Danio rerio: one gene and its partners. The protein of the gene in region 1 interacts with the protein of each later gene in a pairwise test. Links are inferred from orthologs where the notes say so. Each region holds a gene or a part of one and is shown on either strand. Other genes may lie near its edges.

Region 1 (5,158 bases):
GATTCAGTTTGAGCCTATATAACTATTATCAACTTTAAATAGTTACTTACTTACACTGATAAAGTCAATTGCTTTATTAGTTGTCACCTTTTCCTTTTACTTCATGAATGTGTTTAAATAGCTTAATTGTCCTCAATCTCTCAGGAGATGTCAATCATAGTTTCAAGGCATTTGATTGGCTCTTTAATAATGATGTAACATTCATGTGCAGGCTTTTCCTGAACACAGAATCAAAGCTTGAATTCACTTCTAATGGGTTCCAAAACTGCAACAAAAAAGCACTTTTTGCTCCATTGACATGTTTTACCCCGCTGTACAACAGAATTGGACATGCTCAAAACCCAGTTTGACTGCGGCTTAAGTGTGTTGTAGCAGGGTTGGAATTTAACTCTGTAGGGCTCCAGTCTTCCAGTAACTGAGTTTGACTCCCTGGATTAGAGCATAGGTATGAGCCCTTCTGAAATGAATGCAGTGTGGGACACCAAATAACTTCCCTGCTCAAAGCATCCATCAGTTTTATCCCTCAAAATCCTTCAAAGGGTCCTTTGAAGTAGCCAGTTTTGAGCACTTCAATTTGGATAGAAACTATGGCAGCCATGATTGTTTTCTTTCTGAAGTGCCCTTTGGAGGGTGCTACAACCGTTTGGAATACACACAGAAAAGATTGATAATCAGCGTCATGGTACCAACCAGGCCTGACTGATTTGGTTTGGGTTTTTTTTTTCAAATCAAAACTAATTCTGAATTTGTTCATAATGACTGACAAGTGTAAATTTCATAATTTAAATATATCAAATCCTTTTTTCTTGCTTAATGTGCATTAAACACTACATTTAGAGAACTTTTTAGTTGATTTTCTTAATGTTTAAATATTTTTGAACCCGCATATTAATAAATGCTTTTCTTGTTAGTTCCAATATCTAAAAAATAAAATAAAAAATTATTTCCTAGACAAGTAAAAAAAAAGTATCGCCTTGTTTTCAGAAATAATTTCTAAAAATTAAGTGAGTTTTTCATAAATTAATCTGGCAGTGGGGTAAGCAAAAAAAATGTAAAAAAATGAAAACACTATTATTTTGATTACACCATTGGCTGATTATTTTGCTTGTTTTAAGGAAAAGTTTTTTAAATTAATGGATTTCTTGCAGGTTTGAGAGAGAGGATGAGCAAATATGACAGTATTTTGATTTTGGAGTGAGCTTAATCTTTAAAGGAATCCTATTGCGCGTCTTTACATTTTGAATGTATGCAATATGCAATATACACTTACTGGCCACTTTATTAAGTACACCTTACTAGTACCAGGTTTGACCCCCTTTGCCATCAGAACTGCCCTAATATTTTGTGGCATATATTCAACAAGGCACTGAAAATATTCCTCAGAGATTTTGGTCCATATTGACATGATAACATCATGCAGTTGCTGCAGATTTGCCATGCTCTTATGTTGTTGAAGCCAAATTCTGAGCCTGTTGCATCAGAAATCAAGACTCATCAGACCAGACAACATTTTTCCAATCTTCTGTACAATTTTGATAAGCCTGTGTGAATTGCAACCTCAGTTAACGGATAGGCACTTAATCAGTTCACCCAATATGGCTTTTAAGATATCAGTACAAGGCTTGAAACTTTTAAAATGCTAATAAATCCTTTTGATGTGTTTAGAGAAAAATAAGCCTCCTTAAACATCACAACTAAAAACCCAAACTGTCTCTCTGCCCTGAGGGCGAACATTGACCTGACACATCGCGGTGAGGTGAGCCAACTTCCGGTGAGGTCCAGCAGATCCTCTTCTGTTCTGCGTGCGTGGCGAAGGCGGGACGTGTGACGTAGGCCGGCTGGAGCTCGAGGTGTTTATTGTTCCTTCCCGTCGAAGAGAGAAAAGGGCTGGCTTAGCGGAGGCATATCTCGCACACACGCTTTCCCAGCGGTTTTAGCTTCACGGAGCCATTTTAGTAAGGCCAAAACAGGTTGATCCGGGAGCGGTTGGCCATGGCGTACGCGTATCTCTTCAAGTACATCATCATCGGAGACACGGGTAAGCAGCGGCCGAGACTCGCTTATTTCCGCAGTGTTGGACTTAATGACGTGGTTCAAGCAGAGGCGCGAGGGGTGGGAGAAACATCTGACAGCCTGTTTTTGTCTCTCCATCTGCCTCATTAGCTCCTGGGCTACGTTTTATCGCACACTTTATGTCAACTTCCAAGCGTGTGCTTTATGTCACGACAGCGGCGTGCAGTTAAAAGGCTGTCACGGTCTTTTGTTTTCCGCTGGGTGGGGGAGTTAGCAGACAGGCTAAACGCTGCTTCATATCAGCTGTCCGCCTCGATAACGACTGCAGAATCTCTGCTTTCTGTTAGCATGACACGTTGAGCGAAAAAGCAACATGCTGTGTACCTGTCAGTGCGTCTGACGGAGAGTTTGCTTCCTTCACTTACATCTTTCTTGAGTCCAGCTAATCTAAAGGCCAAAAGCAGCCTGGCTAGCTATAGCCAACATCGCTAGCAGCTATTTACTCTTTCTGAAAATGGCGTTGATTCCGCTGCATTTTTCTTCTTCAGAACGTTTAATAAGTAATGACTGCTATAAAAGAAACGAGTTTGTATCATTAATAAAAGTGACACGTTTATTAGTCAGGGCCATATAATGTCTGTGCATATTTGTGGCCTGCTAGTGTTCTCATCAGATTTCTGTCACTGAAGGCCTTTCCTCAAGACATACGACAACAACAGTCAATGCATTTCTGCCTTAGTATAGTTTTTTTTTTTCTCATTACACAGATGATTCTGATTATTCCCATAAACATTTTTTGGATTATAGCATAAATACTGCGTTAATAAGATGTCCACATGATTTTTGGTATTAGTTGGTTCCAAGTTATTAATTTTTGTTCATTTAATCAAGTGTAATGCACATTAATAATACACAAAACAAAATAACATGGTAAAAATGGGTCAGTTTTATCCAAACTGGCTCATTTTTATTAGTAGTCCCTTTAAAGGGCCATGAAACCCCCTCGTTTCAGCAGGGTGTTTTCACACCTCCACTTTCGAAAAAGTCAGAAAAGTGGGCGTGTCCAGCTCTGTTTAGGGGGGAGTGTCGGAGGAACTAAAGTGGGATGGTGTGGGAGTGTCTATTTGTGCACGCGCGAGTTTCAGAGTCAAAATACACACCCACACAGACAGGAGAAAGCGATGGTGTTTAACCTACATGGACATCTGTAGTCGAATTATTTGCCAAATTATTAAATGTTGGACTTTAACTGCAGTTTGGCTCTTTCATTCAGGGAATTCATTCATGCCTCTCGCGACAAACGAGATATTTGATTCGAGGATCTGCTCTAAGCGTGTATTTTTCATGCAATGTTTGATACCGCACGGCGAATGAGAGGGAAAAAAAACTCCGCATTTCCCGGAAACTTAGATGCACACGGCAGGCAGCGTCAGAAAGCCGCGTGTGTTATTTCGGTCACTAAATGCGGTGCTAACATTTCTGCACTCAGTGCTATAGTTAACTTAATTCGATATGAACAAACTGAATAAACAAAGAGCACTGGTCGCTCACTTACCAAATCTGTAGAGACAGGACAATCACCAGCAACTAGAGCCGCGTCTTTATGGAGAGAATACTACAAGCAAATCCAGATTTCAGCGTTTGCAGATGAGAACAGCTCTCAGGTAAACAATAATCCCCCTTAGACACGTAAGTTATTGTTGTCGAGCGTCGCGTACACTGTTAATCCACACGTGATCCAGCTGAGCTCTCACAGAGAGAAAATGAAAACGAAACTTAACGGCAGCAAACTATAAAAGCAACACTTCACGCTTGTTTTGTCAACACAACGTGGCGTCTTTGTGGTGTAAACACGGTGACACAAATGAATATTAATGAAGTTGCACAATAGAGCTCGCTGATTGGTTTGAACCAAGCCTTACTAATGCATTAATGCATCACACTGTAAGACGTAATAAGACTCACTCAGGCACAGACGCCCAGTCTGCATGCTGGAATACACGCTATTATGTCATGACCGTGACGCAGCTTCAAAAATTCGTTTCAAACAGGAAGTACGAATTTGCTTGAAATAACGCAAAAACAACCAATTTACACTTTTTAGTGAAATATAGGTGTCCTAATAGTGTTTTTAGCAGTGTGGGACACATATACGACTGTCAAAAGCTCAAAAAATGTGTTTTGGTGTTTCGTGACCCTTTAAAGGCTATATTTTGCATGGAGCCTATTTAAAATGAGTTTTTTAAATATGCGTCTACTAGCATTTAAATTGAACATACGGTGTAATATTTTTGGTGGATTAAGTACCGTTATCTTGATGTTATTACATCTGTCAACATGTGTCTTTATTTGTCCTACTGACTCTTTAACTTAAACTACCCTTTAACCTTAAAACATTAAGCACTAAACCTGTCCTCAACTTAACCACATCCCACCTGTATAGCAGCAAAGGTGTTTAGCAATACAATATGACAGCAGTAAGTACATTGTACCTGATGATCAAATTTGATACAAGTAAAAAGCGCTCTATAAAGTGGTACCTCGGTTTTTCCCAAGTGTTTTTTGCCTCCGCTATGAACTGTCCTAAAGTAATTTTATGCTTTTTTTTTTAAATGATGACCAGATGTTAAGGATTTTGTTGTTCTGAAACCCATTGCAACAAATGATGTGGTACTCCTTTTCTCGTGTTTTTAAATGATAATCTTACCATCTCCTTGTGTTGATCCATTTTGCTTTAATTTTAACCTTGTTTTCATTGGCAGGGTAACATGTACATTTTATCCACTGACTGAGAAATGTCTTTCCATTTATGTGGAGATGTGGTTATGACTGAACAACGTAGTCTATTTAATTTACATGTCTTTAATTTTGATCTGTCACATTATGTACACAACGTGTGTGTGTGTGTGTGTGTGTGTGTGTGTGTGTGTGTGTGTGTGTGTGTGTGTGTGTGTGTGTGTGTGTGTGTGTGTGTGTGTGTGTGTGTGTGTGTGTGTGTGTAGTTTACAGGATCCAGTTTATCCAAAAAAAGAAATCATTATAATCCTACCTTGCTTTCACCTGCAGCATGAAAACAAATATATTTGAAATTTTGATAACCAAACAGTTTAGTAACCGGTGACTTGCCTTATGGAGAAACAAAAGA
Region 2 (5,083 bases), on another chromosome or scaffold:
ATGGAAATATTATAGGGCTAAGGAAAGATCCTAGAGGCAACCATATTAATATCTATCTACTGGTAAATCTGATGTGATCTGTAGAGTAAAATACAGCACTGCAATCTTGAAAAAACTGAACCTAATATGAATTGGTGCTCAAGAAACATTTATTACTATCAGTGTTTTTTATGCTTAAAGGGATAGTTCACCCACAAATAAAAAATCTGGCATTATTTACGCATCCTCCACTTGTTCCAAACTTTGAATTTCACACATAGGTTTTTTCAAGGATTAGCCATGTGAATAAAAGCTTTTTAATATTTTTTTTTCACATTTTTCGAGGGCCTTGTACTGATTTTTGCTCTTTAATAAAACATACATTGATCAATCTTGAAAATTACTAGTCTCTGACTTTCAATGTTTATCATGTTTTTTTCGATGGCTGTCAATGGCTACAAGTTTCCAACATTTTTCAAAGCATCGTTTTTTGTTTTAAAAAGATAAATAAACTAATGGTTTGGTAAAAAGTAAGATTTTTTCCCAGAGGTGGGTTGCGGCTGGAAGGGCATCCGCTCTGTAAAAACTTGCTGGATAAGTTGGTGGTCCATTCCGCTGTGCCGACCCCGGATTAATAAAGGGACTAAGCCGACAAGAAAATGAATGAATGAATGAAAAGTAAGATTATGAGTCAGTTTTTATTCTTAGGTCTCAATAGAAAAAGACTTCACAAAATTAAAAAAGCTTTAAAATCAAAGGTTAATTAAATATGGTGGAAGTTTTAAATACAGTATGTTTAAATAACAGAGAATATAAATTTGAGGGACATATATCCTCACAGAAATATCGAAATCAAAAATGTATCTAAAGTGCGGGAAAGAAGTTTGTGGTGGTATGAAATATCTTTCGTTTAAAATAAGTTGTTATTTTTTCAAATTGCCAACATTTTCATCAAAACTTTAGAAAAATATATATATGGACATAGTGCTTCACGATATTAAAAGTGTTTACTAAAAATATATATGGACATAATGCTTCACGATATTAAAAGTGTTTACTATACTTTTGGGCCAAACAAAGGCAGCCCGAGAGCGTAAGAAACATTTGAAGAAAAAAAATGAGCCAGAAATGTTTGAAAATACGCGCACGTCTCCTTTTTGTACAATTATAAGGTCTGAATCTGCCTGAGACGCGCAGCTGCTCAGTAGCGCGCCGTGATCGTATAGTGGTTAGTACTCTGCGTTGTGGCCGCAGCAACCCCGGTTCGAATCCGGGTCACGGCAAATATACAGAGCAAAGCATTCGTTTTCATATTGCTGTGGCTGATACATTTTACAATACAATATAACGTATACTATACATTAAACGTATTCATTTTAATATATACAAATGTAATAACTTAGTCTTAGACTTATTAACGTTATATTAATTTGCCCAAATACATTCATCATAATTTAAATAACGCATTATTTGGAATGAAATCGCTTTAAATCACCAACAGACATTTGTTCAGTCGTTAATTCTAATTTTCATAAGATTTTTGTTTTTTTCCTCACATAGATCGTTCATTCCTTCATGAATCCAATGATGTAATGCAAATGTGTCGTCATATCCTGTTGTTTCAAAACGTGAAAGCCTTCGGTATGGATATAGTCGTTAGTGTCTGTATTTATGGATCTACATAGACGAAACACTGATTATCAGATACCTGAATTATCATTAAAATAGATATGTATTATACAAGAAACACCTCTAGCTTTGCTTGCAGCGAGGCTTTTATTTTGAAACGTGTCAGCAGGATGTCGGTTGTTTTTGAGTGTCTTGTTAGAGGAGTTTTCATTGAACCTGCCAAAGCAGTAAGAGAGGGGAGAACGGGTACCCGCATCCATTGTTATTTTACTTTCATTTTTTTCTTCTGGATGACAACATCCCATCTTTGAACGAGACCATTAGAGCGGACTACCCACCATGTCTGTTGAGGAGGAGAGGGGGGTAGTTCGTGTCAAAGTCAAGGTGAGGAATTTTGGGGAGCGAGCGGCAGGTAGAAACCCCAACCACACACACACACACACACACACACACACACACACACATCAACACGGCGGGCAGGATGAAAACACAGTAACACACAGCGGTCCTGTCAGGCCACGAGTGTCTGGTTTCACGTCTAACGTTATCGTTCGTCTGTCGTGGGGAATTGTTGTTTGTTCATCAGCCCTAGTCTTCACGTCCGTCGCTTTTTCTTCGTTGGCATCTTTGTTGTTTACGAATCGTGACCGCATCATAAAAATATGTTTTACAGTACAGTACGATCAGAACAATTATAATTACTATATTATTTGAATTATCATGCGATATTTTCGTGAAATATATTTTCATTTCGAAGTAACGGTTCAGTTTTTTCATCGTTGTTGTTTTTGTGTCCAAATGTAACCGTTTATAAACGGTCTATAATTAGATGCTTATTTGCGTAAAAAAACTTGTCGCACAAATACAGTGGTCAGCATGTATAAGTACACCTCTGACATATCTTTTAAAATTATATTTTTAATAGGAAGCTATACAGTATTTGTGCTTGTACATTACATTAGTCAGTGCTGAAGCCAATCAGGAGCTTATCTAACAAAATAATTTACGATGACTGTCCAAAAACTAGTACACTGAAATTTAAATGGTATAGAAAAATATTAAATACAATTTTGTAAAAGAAGAAAAATCAAGAGAAACAAATATTTGAAAAATTGAGTTGACATTTTGTCAATATTTTGCATGAATTTAATTGTATTATCTTTCATGTTTAGTGTCTAAATAGTATTTTAATAAATATATATGTTCTTTAAATCTGTTTTTTTTTAATGCACCAAAATACATTGCCTAATTTCACTGAGAAATGATAATATTAATTTTCAAAATGGGGAGAACTCAATTATGCTGAGCACTGTATATACCGCTGACTTGCTTGACCGTGAGTCATATTTGCTCTGGAGTGTCACATGATCAACCTGAATCCTCTTGCTTCAGTATTTCAGTCATTTCTCGGGTGTTCAGTCAGATTTAACGTATACAAAAAGTGTTGTTTATGCTTTTGAAAGCTGTATGGCTGTTGTTTCAGATGCAGGGCTTTGAGAACCACTAAAATAAAATACAGAGCCACTTTATAAAAAAAAGCTTTATTCCTCTTCTGCTTCAAGATCAGTAGTGTCAATATAATTCAACAAAGGTTTCTATGTTTTGTAAAAAGATTTTAAAGACCCTTTTAATGAAAACCATTTTTTTCCCAACTTTAAACACTAAAAACTGTCTTTTATCCATCTGTCATATAAAGGTGGAGATGTTTGTTTCCACTTCAGGAGAATAGGCCTCCTAGCCAATAATGAGGAGAAAGCAACAACGTTCTGTGTTGTTAAAGACAAATTTGTCCCAAAAAAGGAGTTCCGAATACTGCTGTTAGAGGGTTTGGAGTGACTGATATGTTAAAGTTTTTTTTCAAAAGTGTCAAATATTTTAGACCAAAACATTGTTAATCTTGGACATGATCAAAACATGTGTGTGTGATTTGCTGTAGATTGTTGACCCTTATTACAAGTATTAATTCTATTTGGTGTATTTTGGCTAATCTGGCATTAGTGTGGTGTGCTCTGTAAAAATTCTTGCATTGCATTAAACTGTGTCGGGCACATATAGAAGAACTGTGTACAAAATTGAGTATATAATCCCCTTCTATTTCACTGATGGTGATCCATCTGTTTCTTTAAGATGGCTCTTTCACGTGCAGAATTTAGGTCAGTGAATTTTCAGTTTAATCACAGTGAAATTTTGATTAATTAAAGAGCTCCTGTACGACACCTTTTCTTGAGTCACTGTTTTTGAGAGGTAGAACAAAAGCTTAATTGTCTTTAATTTTAAAGTCTAGAGATGACCATTATTTTAAAACAAGTTTTCAAAAATTACATCTGTAATATTTTGTTTACATTCTGTAAATAAATACTCATTTAAATTCTTTATTTTGGCCTAAAATGCTAGTCTGTTTAGTACAGAGATGTCCAAACTGGGCCTTGCGGGCCAAAGTTGGCCCATGGTAACCTTTGATTTGGCCCACCATTCCAACTGATATGAGAAGGAGAATGAATGGGACCTTTGGGGAGAAAAAGCTCAACTTGTGTATTTGGCATTTTGTAATAAAAAAGATTTTGTTTTTACTGACAATTTAATATATGAAGGTCCAATTCAGTTTTCATTAGTGAATGTGGCTTTCTCAGTAGTCATTAAGATGTTTCTGACGGTGACCCATGTTTAGTCTGTGTTGTTATAAGGACTGAACAATATATCGTTTCAGTATCGGTACTGCACTATGCGTACCCGCGATAGTCACATCACAGGATGTGCAATGTCAAACTGGTATCATAAAGGACACATTGCTACATTTGAAAGCACTAGTGATTTGTCATTGCAATGTTTAACCATAACAGTACCAAAACATTTATTATTTATGTGTGTTTTAAAGGCCAGTGACTGTGTGGGCATTTTTTTAAGTCAGTTTAAAATATACTGGCATAGAAAATTATGCTTTCAACTTTAAGAAAGATGAATTGTATTTATGTAAATATGCAATGGAAACTACAATGTTATTTTACATTTTGTTATTACATTTGATAAACTAAATGTTGCTGAAAATTACACTGAGCATTTTATTTGTAGCATATCGTTGCTTTACTGTATTTATCAATGTTTCTGATTGATTTATTATGATGCTCTACCTTATAAAATCAGCCCAGTGTATCTAAAATTCTGAATACCTTTCGATTAGACCTATTCATTTCATCTGGTGAAATTATACTCAATATCGCAATATATATCGTAGAAAAATAAAGTATTTCAATGTCAGTGTTTTCCAATATTGTGCAGCCCTAGTTGTTCTCCTTAATGAAATTTTTTTTCTGTAAATGAAGGGGGTAATAAATATTAAAATACCACATTCACGATTTAAAAGTTATAGTAAATAAAAACTAAATTAAACAAGTTAAAAAAATGAAACAAATAAAAGAAAAATACAACATGACTAAAATAAAATTATATGTAGAAATAAGTTTTAAAATATTAATAA
Region 3 (5,183 bases), on another chromosome or scaffold:
GGTATTGCCAATTCTGATAACTGGAGTTCTGAGGGAAAAATTAAATTTGAAATATAAAATTGTAAAAAATAAATAAATAAATAAACAAATAATAATAATAATAATAATAATAAGAAGAAGAAAAAATAAGAAATTAAATTTTGAAAAAAAGAAATGGAGAAACAAATCAGATATTTAACCTCTGGTTCCTTTTTACATTTCTGGGTTTCTCAGTAGTGGAGGTCATCATAGTTGGGTAAACTTTGAGCGCATGAATGGGAGAGTACAGAAAATATTTTTTTTACAGTTCCATTTGCTTAAAAAATAAAAGAAAAACTTCACGATGGTGTTATCAAGACTTTAGGAAAATAAATGTAAAAATAGTATGAGACTGATAATGGCAACCAGAAGAGATTTGATGCAATTTTTGCAGAGTTGATATAATGTGTTATAAATGTGGTATAAATGTGTTTTTTTTAATCAAAATGTTAAAAACTTTCAACAATTTAAGATTATGATAACCGTAAACGTGTGAAAAGGATCCATTGTGATAAAGACAAATTTAAAAATTCTGAGAAAATAGGTCTAAATTGCAAAAATTGTGAGAAACCCTATGAACCTGCAATTATAAGAAATAGTCTGATATAGCAATAAATGCAAAATGACTCAAAATTCAGACTTTTTTACTCTGAACTGTGAGTTCATAGTATCTCATGTCTCTTCTGAATTTGAACTTAAAACATCTCTAAATTGTATTTTTTTTTCTTTGATCCTCATTTCTATTATTTTTTTCTACACTGTAAAACCCAACAGTTAACTTATTAAATGAAATGAGTGTAATCAACTTTTTATCAAATGAAATGAGTGTAGTTAACTCAAACGTTACTGAAAGTTAATTCTACTCATTTAAAAAGAGTTTTGAATTCAGTGTTGAAGGTAATGAATTAATTAAATACCTCATTATTTCAACTTAAATGGAGTCAGTTCACAGTACTTGTATATATTAGTTTTTCAACTCAGATGGTTTGTTGCAATCAGTTTCCTCAAACTGTTTGAGTTGCCTTAAACTTGGGTTTTACAGTGTTCAAATTGCTTTGTGTACTCAGATGGATTAAGTTCACAGTACTCATTAGGATTAGCATTTGAACTTAAATGGTTTGTTGCAATTAGTTTTCTCAAATTGTTTGAGTTACCTTAATTTTTTTGCATTTTTACTGTTTTCTTAATATTGAAACAGCCGTACTACTTTTTAGTAGAGAAAAGAAGGGCTCGTCCGGGATTTGAACCCGGGACCTCTCGCACCCTAAGCGAGAATCATACCCCTAGACCAACGAGCCGACCGTGTAAGATGATCGGGTAAAAGACATGACGAAAGTTAAGGCAGACCACCGACGGACCCATATCAAATATTTACTCAGTATCAAACGATTAACAATGAAATATAAGTAGTTTGACAGGCATGTGAAAACTTGCTTTTAAAATGTGACAGTTATCTCATCCTTCACGTTATCAGATTTCCCTCTTTGAAAACCAACTCTAAACTTCAACGCCACCTTAAAAGCCGACTTCAACCATATAAATACCTCACTGTCTCTCTCAAAGAAGGGTTTTAGCCCCACGTGCAGCTGTGTGTAGCACTTTACTGTAGTACATACACGAAATGCGACTGTATTTTGTTCAGTATTTATCTTCTTGTCTCCTGAGTGCCAAAAGTTCAGCTGACGTCACCCGCCACCGCCGCACGCGACCCCGCTGCCGACGTGGCGCGAGCTCGAGCGGAAAGGGTAGCGGGAGCGCGACTGTCTGTCAGCACAACTGGTAAGAAGGGATGACCCCATCAATTTACTTCATTTACACAACAAATAATATATATATGTTGGTTTTGCATGCGTTTGTTTTGCACTTTAGCATTAAGACTGTCTTTACGGAGATTTTGTCGCGGTTGTTGCCATGTATTTGGATATAATTGTATTATTTGAGTCAAATTCGCCTTAACCGTCGCTTGTAAAGTGCTTGAAACGTATGTTTATTTATGTTTACAATGTTTAAATAAATAGTGTGCACTAAAACGAGAGATATATCTATATTAACGAATTAACGATTTGTATAAACATGGGCGTTTGGTTTTTTTATGGAAATACAGAACTTGAGACGTCATTACACTGCATTTATGTTACTGCATAGAAACGGTAAGATTTATAACCTGTTGTTTGTAATCTGCTTAAATTTATACATGGTGTATTTTACTTTACTGAACCATTGTTTACAAACTAAAGTTTGAATGAGGTTTCTACGTGTGGAAAATAACCACTAGATGGCGCCGCAATCCGCTTTAAACAAAGGCGCTTGACAGTGTGGCACCATTCAGGGACAGCGCGGCTCCAGCTGTAGGCCTATGTGTGAATGCTTTTCTTTCCACACACACCCACACAAGTACACATACTGTACATTGCATTCAATTCATTAGTCATAATTCCATGTGTAATACACTGTACATTAATAATAAGTCGTACGTGCAATGATAGTTTGTAAAACCAAATCCTAAATTGTGACCCTAGACAACAAAACCAGTCATCAGTGTTTTATTGTAGTGTTTTTTTAATTGAAGTTTACATTGGGATGGGATAATATTTAGCAGATTTACAACAAAAATTGCCTTTAAAGTTTTCTAAATTAATGACAATGCACATGGCTCTTTCAAAAATTGAGTTTTGATGTATTCACAGTTGGAAGTTTACTAATTATCTTAATGAAGCATGATCTTTACTTACTATTCAGATGATTTTTTGCATAAAAGAAAAATCGATCATTTTGACCCATACTAGGGCTGTATGACATTGTTTTAGTCTCGATATCGCAATGTGTGCATCTGCAGTAGTCACATTGCATAGACATGCAATGTTGAGTTGACTTTGTAGTTTAATTTTTTCATTTACATGTACAAAACCATAAAGCATGCATTGTTTATTTCACTTGTATCTTTGCTTTGTTGCATTTATCCTTGCTTGTAATTTGTTCAATAGAGGTAAAGTTGGTTTTATATTCAGATATTCAGACATACTCCTTAATAATATAATTTCAGAAAAGTATTCTTTGCAAATTCTTAATAGGGAAATCATATTAGCAGCAAATGACTATCAAAGCACAACATTGTTTACAATGAATTAGATAGTGTTAATGTTGTTTAGAAGTCATACTTGCATGGTAATTCCGATCGAATATTCAACGTAACATAGTAAACAATATAGAGACTGCTAAATGAACGAATGTGCGAATATAAAACCATTTTTACCTCTGTTTATTCATTAAATTTAATACATGTTTCACTGCCCTACAGAATTATCCCGATCAATCAAAATGAATACTTCTGCTAAAACTTTGGACCAATTCTTACTATTAATTAGTTGCTTGCATGCATGTTATTGAGATATTGGCTGCTTATTAGTACTTTTAAACTACATATTCTGTATGATCTTATTCTACATCCCCAATCCTACACAATAACTAAACTACTTTAATAACTATTTATAAGGATCAAATTGGGAGTTTATTATAGCAAAAGTCTGCACTCATTGAACCTTAAAATAAAGTGTGAACAAAAGTGCTATTTAATCGTTTGCTGGAATGCTATAGACAGATACAGTATATTGCAATATATTTTGCAGAAAAACAAAATATTGCAATGTCAGATGTTTCTAATATGGTGTAGCCCTAGCCCATAAAATGTATTTTTAATTCCTGCCAAAAATATATTTATGCAAAACTGATCTTGTAGTTCAGGGTCACATTTCACAACCATAAAACCCTAAACATAAAACAAACAAATTATAAGTGTACATGATTATGTACTGTACTGTATGTGTGTGTTCATATTAACACTGGCTGCATTTGCTGGCGAAAGCAGTATGTGATGAGTGTTAGAATTCATACCATACTTCATAAGAGGAATGACCAGGGTGATCTGCAGACATTCTGAAGTGTATTTCTAATAGACACCTCACTATCCTATGAGGTCCCGGGAGAGGATTTGTAAATGACAGTATAGTGATGCAACTGATGATGGTACAGTCGTTACAATCATGTATTCATATGCATGGTGGTCATAAAGTTCATGGAGGCCACACAATACGATCTTTCTTTTTGAAATAAGAATTCCATCTCATAATCCCAAAGGAATTCTAATGGAATTCCTGGCATAATTTGGAAGCAAACAACAACAAAACAAATTCCCCAAGAATCAATTACGATCCAATTAGATACACTGATGATGTGAACAAAAGGTTTAAAACAATTATTCTGAACATCGGTTATACAGAAACATCCTAGAAATGGCTTTTAATACTTTTAGCATAAGCTTGAAATGATTATAGACATGATGTTAGCAACCCATAATTTAATTTACCTTATTATACCCTCTCTCAAGTAATTTTAAACCTTTATAAGTTTTTTTATTCTGTGAACATATTCAAGAAAATATTTATCTTTTGGAAAATTAGTCATGTTTTCAACAAGTGAAGGGTGAAACAATGATAGAATTAAAATTTTTGGGTCAACTATCCCTTTGAATGCATTAACACCCAGTGTATTCTGTATGCACTACAAGCTAATTTATACAGATATCTGCATGTTTGAGAAATAGGCCCCTGAGCATCATTTATACGATTCTTTAACAAGTACATAATAATTTTTCTTTTTATTGTGCTTGTGTGTTTTTTTCTTATAATCTGTCATTATAATGGTTTCTGCAAGTCTTAATTCACACTTTCCACAGTTTAAGCAAGAGCAGAAAATCTAATTCATTGAACTGAGGGTTTTATTTGCTGCATTAACTACAAAAATGAATATATTTGACCATATTTCTGTTTTTAGTATAAATGTCTGAAAATCCCTAAATCAGATACACGTACACGAGGTGCAAATGAGAAAATTAAGTTTAATTTTCGGAGAAATTGAACAAAATGAAGAGAGTTGAAGCCATAATGAGAACAAATGTCTCACACAGGTGTATAAAAATTACTTTTCCATTTGAACTAAGTAGATTTTTTTACTGCTAACCGGTAAATATGTGTAGTATTGCTTTATAATAAACACTTCATTTTCATCAGTTTCAAAGAAACAACTTTTATTAATGTAATGAAACCTTTAGTGCTGGAAAACACGACAAAGAAGGAAAAGTAAAAGTTATTATTATGGTAGAAGAGTTT

Evidence for each region. The genes of interacting proteins can lie anywhere in the genome.
Region 2: the proteins of rab2a (region 1) and tbc1d25 interact in binary tests that used the Homo sapiens proteins (3 or more experiments, as listed by UniProt). The link is inferred for Danio rerio from reciprocal best matches to the Homo sapiens genes RAB2A and TBC1D25.
Region 3: the proteins of rab2a (region 1) and fam114a1 interact in binary tests that used the Homo sapiens proteins (3 or more experiments, as listed by UniProt). The two-hybrid records come from large-scale screens. The link is inferred for Danio rerio from reciprocal best matches to the Homo sapiens genes RAB2A and FAM114A1.

Annotation. Positions count from the first base shown.
Region 1 is NC_133177.1:25,074,006-25,079,163, reverse strand, and holds the start of rab2a (ras-related protein Rab-2A), read left to right. Parts: upstream 1-1,762; 5' UTR 1,763-1,992; coding exon 1,993-2,038; exon of another isoform or gene 2,039-2,073; intron 2,074-2,853; exon of another isoform or gene 2,854-2,993; intron 2,994-4,209; exon of another isoform or gene 4,210-5,158.
Region 2 is NC_133183.1:25,551,609-25,556,691, forward strand, and holds the start of tbc1d25 (TBC1 domain family member 25), read left to right. Parts: upstream 1-1,665; 5' UTR 1,666-1,947; coding exon 1,948-1,992; intron 1,993-5,083. UniProt on the Homo sapiens protein: Acts as a GTPase-activating protein specific for RAB33B. Involved in the regulation of autophagosome maturation, the process in which autophagosomes fuse with endosomes and lysosomes.
Region 3 is NC_133176.1:20,108,294-20,113,476, reverse strand, and holds the start of fam114a1 (protein NOXP20), read left to right. Parts: upstream 1-1,765; 5' UTR 1,766-1,797; intron 1,798-5,183. UniProt on the Homo sapiens protein: May play a role in neuronal cell development.